Linked DNA regions of Oryctolagus cuniculus. The protein of the gene in region 1 interacts with the protein of each later gene in a pairwise test. Links are inferred from orthologs where the notes say so. Each region holds a gene or a part of one and is shown on either strand. Other genes may lie near its edges.

Region 1 (4,034 bases):
CAATACACCCAAGAAATTCTCTTGTAAAATTAATTCCACAAACCTAATCTGAGTCCCTGCTCTTAGTCTGCAACTCCATGAAGATGAACCTTGAGGCATCAGGGACAGGAGCATGAGTGGTTCACAGCTCAGAAATATCTGGTGAATCCAAAGCCCTTAGGAAAATAAAATTCCCATAAGATTGTAACCGATGCAAATAGAGAGGATTCTGAATGTTCCCAACACAAATGCTAATAAAAGTTTGAGGTGATGGATATGCTAAATAATCTGATCGTGGTATACATGCATTGAAATGCCACACCATACTCCAAATATATGTACATAAATGTGTAAATGACTAGTAAACCTACATATATTATATTAGGCAATGCTTAAAAAATTATAACCAACTCCCGCCCCAAGCAACCTTTGACGTTGATTTTACCGGCCCCAGTATCTTTCTTAGTTTTCAATTTCTCTGTAAAGTTTAATTCGAAAGGAGCAGTACGATTGTCCCTACATTTAAATAATTAGCAAGCATCTCAATGCTAGCATCTATTCTGAGCGCTCTTACAAGAACTCACCGGCAGAACTCCCGATTGCAGAACTTGAAATTGATTTATCACCTCTATTGCTAGCAATCTCATATTAGATAGTTTTTTAGAAACTTCAAGCCCTGATGAAAGAAACTAGTACAGTTTATTCTTAGAACTCTACAGACTGGAGCCTACCTTTTGCCACTCCAAAGGAATCTTACAGGCCATTATTACTGATCAAAAGAGACAAACATTGTACGCCTGAGGGCACTATGCATCTCCAATTTTGAACTGTAACTCACTCCCTTTACTCCAAAGCGTCTGGAAATTAAGCTATAGCTGACTGGCTCCTCTACTTTTTTGCACCATCTCGATGGCAGTGATTGGTTTACTACAAAGCCGATCCAGTAGTTTTGGAGGTTCTGTAGCAATTCCTGTAACCATTTCTGGGAGTTATTTTACAGCAAGATGGACTTGGTTCGAAATTCAAATACAGAAAGACAGTTATGTACTCCTGACTCCCAATTTTCTTAGTGAAATACTAGCAGTATTCTTTCACAACGATGATCACGACGACGATGGTATCACTAAGTAAGGTTCTAATCTCTTCATACAGCTTTAACTCTCACAAAACTATTAGGCGGCTCAAACTACAAAGTCCTGCGCCTAGAAGGGCCGGAAGTAGTTCAGCGCGTTCGCTAGGGCCCGCCCCTGCACTTCCGGCGGCTGTGGGCATTCCCTGTGGCGGTCGTCCGTGTCTGGCCGGTAGGATGGCGCTTGGCCGATGCGGGCATAGCACCGAGAGCAGACGGCCGCCCAACGCTCCAGCCGTACCCCGAAGTTTCTCCCTAGTGGCGGGGGATGGGGGTGGGTGGTTCTGTTGCGTCGGCTTTCCTGGCTCTTCCGCATCACAGAGACGTGGGCCTCCTCCTTCCTAGCCCTCCCGCCTTGTTCCCTTGTGTCGGCTAGAGCGTCCCCTCGCCGTTTCCTGTCGCACAGGGGCCCCGTTGAGGGAAGAGAGGCGTAGCACTACAGCGGAGGGAACTCGTGAGCTTGGGTGGTGCACACGCACCGGAAGAGTTGGGAGGAGGCCGGAAACCAGGGGGCGGGGCCAGGAAGGAGGAGGGGCGGGGGTTTATGAGGAGGCCAGGGGAGCGTTAAGGCAAATTTGCACTCAGGTCTACCTGAGGGACTTGGCGGTGGCGCTCAGCTGTTTCACCCCACCTGTGCCCCCGCTGAGACACGGTTGTCGTCAAGGAGCGGGGAACTCTGGGGAGGTGTGGGTTTTCGAGCGGACAGTTCTCTGGCTGCGCTTGGGACGAGGTGTGGAGAGGCAGGGCTGGGGGTGGGGCGGGGCCGACAGGGCATCTGAAAGGGAAAGACCCCCCCACACCTGCCCCCCCCCACCGCACATCTACACTGGCTGGACACTAAGATGGCTGCCGTTGCCATGACACCCAACCCAGTGCAGACCCTTCAAGAGGAGGCGGTGTGCGCTATCTGCCTCGATTACTTCACCGACCCCGTGTCCATCGGCTGCGGGCACAACTTCTGCCGAGTGTGTGTAACTCAGTTGTGGGGCGGGGAGGATGAGGAAGACAGGGAAGAGTTAGACCGGGAGGAGGAGGAGGAAGAGGAGGAAGAAGAGGATGGAGAGGAGGAAGAAGTGGAGGCTGTGGGGGCTGGTGGGGGGTGGGACACCCCCATGCAGGACGAAGACTATGAGGGTGAAATGGAGGAAGAGGTTGAGGAGGAAGAGGAGGGTGTGTTTTGGTCCAGTGGCATGGGTGGGTCCAGCTGGGACAACATGGATTATGTGTGGGAGGAGGAAGATGAGGAGGAAGACCTGGACTACTACTTGGGGGACATGGAGGAGGACCTCAGGGGAGAGGATGAGGAGGATGAGGAGGAAGTTTTGGAGGAGGATGAGGAAGAGGAGCTAGACACCGTCACCCCACTGCCCCCGCCTCCAGCCCCTCGGCGGTGCTTCACTTGCCCCCAGTGTCGAAAGAGCTTTCCTCGGCGGAGCTTCCGCCCAAACTTGCAGCTGGCCAACATGGTTCAGGTGATTCGGCAGATGCATCCAACCCCTGTTCGAGGGAGCCGTGTAAACGAGCAGGGCATCTGTCCTAAACACCAAGAAGCACTGAAGCTCTTCTGCGAGGTAGATGAAGAGGCCATCTGTGTGGTGTGCCGTGAATCTAGGAGCCACAAACAGCACAGCGTGGTGCCATTGGAGGAGGTGGTGCAGGAGTACAAGGTGAGAGAAGTAGAGAAGATGGGAGTTTATTGGGGGTGGAGAGACAGGAAAAGGAACTGGGAAAAGAAAATGTATCGTTGCCTCCAGAACTTCATGAGCTGGTGAGCTGATTTTCCCTATCTAAGCACTTATTTGTAGCAAGATGTTAGAATGGGAGGGATCCTGTACATAGAAAAAGTAAACACATTGATAAAGACTAGGGAATGTTGACTTCAGAGTGAATAGGGCAAAATCAGTGATGCCAGATCACTAAGCTTCCTCTCCTGAAGGAGGAGGTCACAGGTCTCCAGGGGTTTATCATCATTCTCATTTTTTTCTGTGTTAGTTTTAAGTCTGTCTTTAACTGCATCCCTTAGAAATGTAAAGAACTGGGAGTCTCACAGGAAAGGCTCTGAAACAAAAGCATAGACATGACTGCTAGTGTCAGACCCAAATGTCCTGCACTTGCCTCCTAAGGGATTCTCTGCCACCTCATGATATGGCTTGAGTCTCCCTTTGTGGTCTTTAGTTGGATCTGTTTCTGGTGTACTGACCAGAAAAGAGACTTTTCAGACAGAAAAACAAGCTCAACACATGCTCACTGTCTATTTTTGATAAAGTCTCTGAGTGTCTTTGGACTTTATAATTTCTCCAGCATTCATAGTTAATGTTTACTGGGTGCTTACTATGTCTGCCAGGCACTGTACTATGTGCTTTTCATGGACTGTCCTTTAAGACAAAAAACCCTGTGGGCTGGATAGGTTTTACATTACCATTTTATAGATCAGTAAACAAAGTCAGAGACATTTAAGCAGGGCCACATAACTTTAGTAATTAATGCACTTGGTAATGGCTGTCCCTCTACCTGGCATACAGCATCATTATCATTTGAATGTCTCTTGATAATTTGGTTTTTGTGACATGTACCCTTTTTTTCTTAGAGTCTTTTCTTTCTAGTTTGGTTAATATTTTTCTTTCTGATTCTGACTTTTCTTTAGACAGAAATAAAGGAAATTTGTGAGACAGATCAAATAGTAATATTAAGCAAAGGCCTAGGTGGGTTTGAAGCAGGGGGACCACAAGGAGGGAGGAGAGGGTAACCTCTGAATAGTCTGCACAGAGCGTTTTTGTAATACGACTTTTTGCTTTATGTTTTCACACGTGATTCCTACAGTAACTTCATTTCAATTTTAGAGTAGCTCTGAGTGGTGCAACCAGGACAAACCTATATCACCCTGTCACTAGTCAAACCTAATTGTCGAAAGTCCTAGGGGAAGTTT
Region 2 (3,978 bases), on another chromosome or scaffold:
ATCTGGGTTAAGTGGTCTGTGAAAACTGTTAAATTTTTCTTTCTTTTTTCTAATGCAAGGAAGACTAGGAAAAGGTGGTAATCACTGTGAAATATTATAGGCTGTGGAATTTTTTTCTGAAAAAGTAGTATTTTTTAAAAGGCTAAATGATAAAGCCTTAGTAAGGATGACTTATTATTTCTCTCATTCATGCTATTTATTTTTACTTTTTCTTTCTTTAAAAGATTTATTTACTTGAAAGGGAGATTTACAGAGAGAGAGAGAGGGAGAGAGAGAGAGATCTTCCACCTGCTGGCTCACTTCCCAAAGGGCCACAACAGCTGGGGCTGGGTCAGGCAAAGCCAGGAGCCTGGAACCCCATCCAGGACACCCATGTGGGTGGCAGGGACACAAGCACCTGGGCCACTCTCTGCTGTCTTCCTGGGCACATGAGCAGGAGCTGGATCAGAAGCAGAGCAACTGGGACTTGAACTGATGTTCATAGGGGATGTTGGAGTCATAGGCAGCAGATTAAGCCACTGTGCCACACCAGCCCCCATAGTCTTTCATTTCTTATTAACTATGCACTTATATGTTGATGGGGGATTTTTTTAATATGCTATTTGCTCCCCAGGAAGATCAGTTCTGTGCTTCAAACAAGACCAAATCTCCTTGGAGTAAATAGAACTTGATTTCAGGTCATATTGAATTCTCATATATAGTCGTAGGTTTTGCTGCTTTCACACTATGAAAAAGGACCCTGGAATCCACTCCTTGCAAGGGGAACTGTCCTAGGAGTGGCAGAGGTTGAGTTCATTAACATACGTTATAAACCTATGGCAGTGAGGCCACTATTCTCCTTGGAAATGTCAGTTACTTCTGCCAGGAGCCCGTGTCATTGGGGGTTTCCAGTTGCAGCGGAGAAGGAATTAGGGCTGTCACATGTGCAAACGCATCTCTTAAGATCGCATTCATTAAGTACCACTCCCTGCCACTAAAGCAAACTAGAACACATAATTGTTCTCACTGGTTACGTTTCAAAACTGGTCCTACGGAAAACATGAATAACTTGCTTGGGAAAGGCTTTTTCTTCCTATTGTTTGAAATCTTAAATGAGACTTTAAAAACATTCTGTACAACTAATCCAATGAGTTTTTATTGGATCGTTTTATTTTCCCTCTCCTCCCTACAGAGTGTGGCTTTTGGTTTTTCTTATTTGCCAACACAAGCTGCCAGCCACGGCCTCCCGGGATCTTTTCCCAAGCACTCCAGGTAACTCCCAGTCCTTGCACTGCATCTGTTTTCCTCACTGTCCCAGGCTGACATTTCCCAAAGTACCTCCCATCATGCCTCTGCAGAAGGCCCGAAAGAGCTGTGGGGCTGTAGCAGAGTCGTCAGATGAAGGCAAGTTATAGGAACAGGATGTTTCTCTTTCTGTTCCCAATAGCAGAGTAAGAAACCACTGTCTGTGCACCAATCAAACACCACTGGCTCTCAGTGGTGTCTCTTCCTGGGCTGTGAGGGGTCACACATGCTGCCGGACTTCGCTGCACACCCCAAGTAATGGCTGGTGTTATTTAGGCCTCAGCTGGTGGCCAAAAGCAGGCCCCTCAGTCTTCCTGTCCCAGTGGGAGGCTGGTCGCCTGTGTGGGGTTTCCAGGGCACTGGCTGGCCCCACTGCACGGCAGAACCCTACCTGTTTCTGGTTTTTTTTTTTTTTTTTTTTTGGACAGGCTGAGTTAGTGAGAGAGAGACAGAGAAAGGTCTTCCTTCCGTTGGTTCACCCCTCAAATGACCACTATGGCCGGCGCACTGCGCCGATCCGAAGCCAGGAGCCAGGTGATTCCTCCCAGTCTCCCATGCAGGTGCAAGGCCAAGCACTTGGGCCATCCTCCACTGCCTTCCCAGGCCACAGCAGAGAGCTGGACTGGAAGAGGAGCAACCAGGACAGTATCCGGTGCCCCAACAGGGACTAGAACCCGGTGTGCCGGCGCCGCAGGCAGAGGATTAGCCTAGTGAGCCATAGCGCCAGCCATGAACCCTACCTGTTTCTAATCGATGTGACCATGCAACTGTTGCGATCATGGCACAGTTCACATTCAGAGCCTTCCCATCTATCTCCTCCTCAGTGAAAATGAGCTTATTAGGTAAGCGCAGAGAAGGAGGCAGAGAACCCTGGGCAGGAAGGATGCAGAGCAAAGTCCTCAGGAGCAGGGTCCTGGAGCCTCCCAGACAAATTTGACCCCGACAATTCTGCATGACATCAGCCTGGTGCAAATGCACCCACCGAGGTTAGCCAGTGTGAGTTCACTGAGGTCGTATAGGGTAAGAATTACTCGCCTTTTTGTTATTTCTGAAACCTGAACTGCTTTTGGAAGTAAGGGCTGGAATGTTCCATAGGCACTCAGGGCATGGGACACGGGCATGGCACACACTCGGTGCGGGCTATTTAAAAACCAATCCCCTGGCTTCCCTCATGATTCTAAATGCGTGTAATCACATTCTGCAGCAGCAGCCGGTGACTATTTCTATAACACTGCCCTGCATCTGTGCTTGCTGTGGCTGGGCCCACCCAAAACACAAACAAACAGAGTGGAGATGTGGTAACCTATCTGGTTGATCAGACCAGACTTTCTGTGTCACAGCCAGCGTCCAGCTAGCGTCTGAGTGGTTGTGTGACTGTGACTTCTCCAGTTTTAAGGACTGATCTGTTTCTCTGTCCTAGGGGAGGAGAGTGTCTGAGCACATCAAAGGAATGCCTTTTAAATGAGCCATTTATTATTTAACAAACGAACATCATAAGCACAATTTGCCACTTTCTCAGATTCAGCAAATTCTTTCCCCCGTGGAAAGATCCCAGCAGAGAAACTTTGTCCCTGTCTGTATTAAAGAGTCTATCTTTGTTGGATTTGTTTGATGTGTTAACACTTTCTTTAATCACCCCACTGGCTATCAGTGGTAATTAATAAGGAATCATCTATGAATTGTTAATCACTTGAAGACATTAGCCGGTGGAAGGACATTAGCCAACATGGTTATATAATGTCAAAACACCTGATCAAGTTTGAGAATTCAGGGAAATAGTCAAACCAGTTCTGGGATTTCATGTAGACAAAACAACAGATTGAGTGACTTGTAGTTTTAACCTTTATGTAAATTTTTAAAATTCTGCTACTTATGAAATGTTACAGCATTTGCCATACCATATGTCAAATGTTTTATCTACCTACATCTGATTTGTCTCTGTAACAACCCTGCAAGATATGTATTATCCCCATTTTACAGATAAGGAGACTGAGGCTCAGTAAGATTAGTAATTTGCACAGACTATATGCCTAAGTTTGAATAAGTGGTGGGGTGAAATTTAAATGAAAACCTCTTGAGTTTCAGTCCCATGTTGTTTGTATATATAACCTCAAACAGCCAAAATGGCCAAGAAGGCAAGGAACAAACCAACAAGCAAAATCTTGGGTCCCAAATCATGCAGTTAGGATACCTCCAACTCAGTAGACCCCAATTGGCCCATTCTCCCTGGAGCCCTTCAGCTACAGCAAGTCTGTTGCCTATGACCCGAGCACAGAGACCTTTCAACCCCCATGCGCTAGGGCTCCGAGAACTGAACTCTGATTGCCAAACCCTACGCGTCAGAACAGATGAGCCGCGTTCCATGATGCCTGTGAAGAGATCGCATTTCTTAGTCAAATATTATCTTTTTGAATATTTTCAGGCATACACGGACTATGTGGCTCCCTTTTGGCCAACTCAAAACACACAGCCAAGTGTAATCCTTGGCGCTTTCCTATATTAATATTTTCTTTCCCTCCTTGTCAGGGGACTAGTTATAAATTAGATGAGAGCAGAAAACCATCCCTTGAGAGTTGCTGTGTCAAGGAATTACCTAGAAAGAAGCATGCTGTTGTTTTTCCTTTTTTCCCCCCACATGGTAAATCACACAGAGTAGCAGCCTGCCTCGGATCCCCTGAGACAACATCTTGAGTG

Evidence for each region. The genes of interacting proteins can lie anywhere in the genome.
Region 2: the proteins of TRIM41 (region 1) and protein FRA10AC1 interact in binary tests that used the Homo sapiens proteins (3 or more experiments, as listed by UniProt). The two-hybrid records come from large-scale screens. The link is inferred for Oryctolagus cuniculus from reciprocal best matches to the Homo sapiens genes TRIM41 and FRA10AC1.

Annotation. Positions count from the first base shown.
Region 1 is NC_091445.1:34,916,886-34,920,919, forward strand, and holds the start of TRIM41 (E3 ubiquitin-protein ligase TRIM41), read left to right. Parts: upstream 1-1,234; 5' UTR 1,235-1,950; coding exon 1,951-2,775; intron 2,776-4,034.
Region 2 is NC_091446.1:36,947,004-36,950,981, forward strand, and holds the start of protein FRA10AC1, read left to right. Parts: upstream 1-1,178; 5' UTR 1,179-1,251; intron 1,252-3,978. UniProt on the Homo sapiens protein: May be involved in pre-mRNA splicing.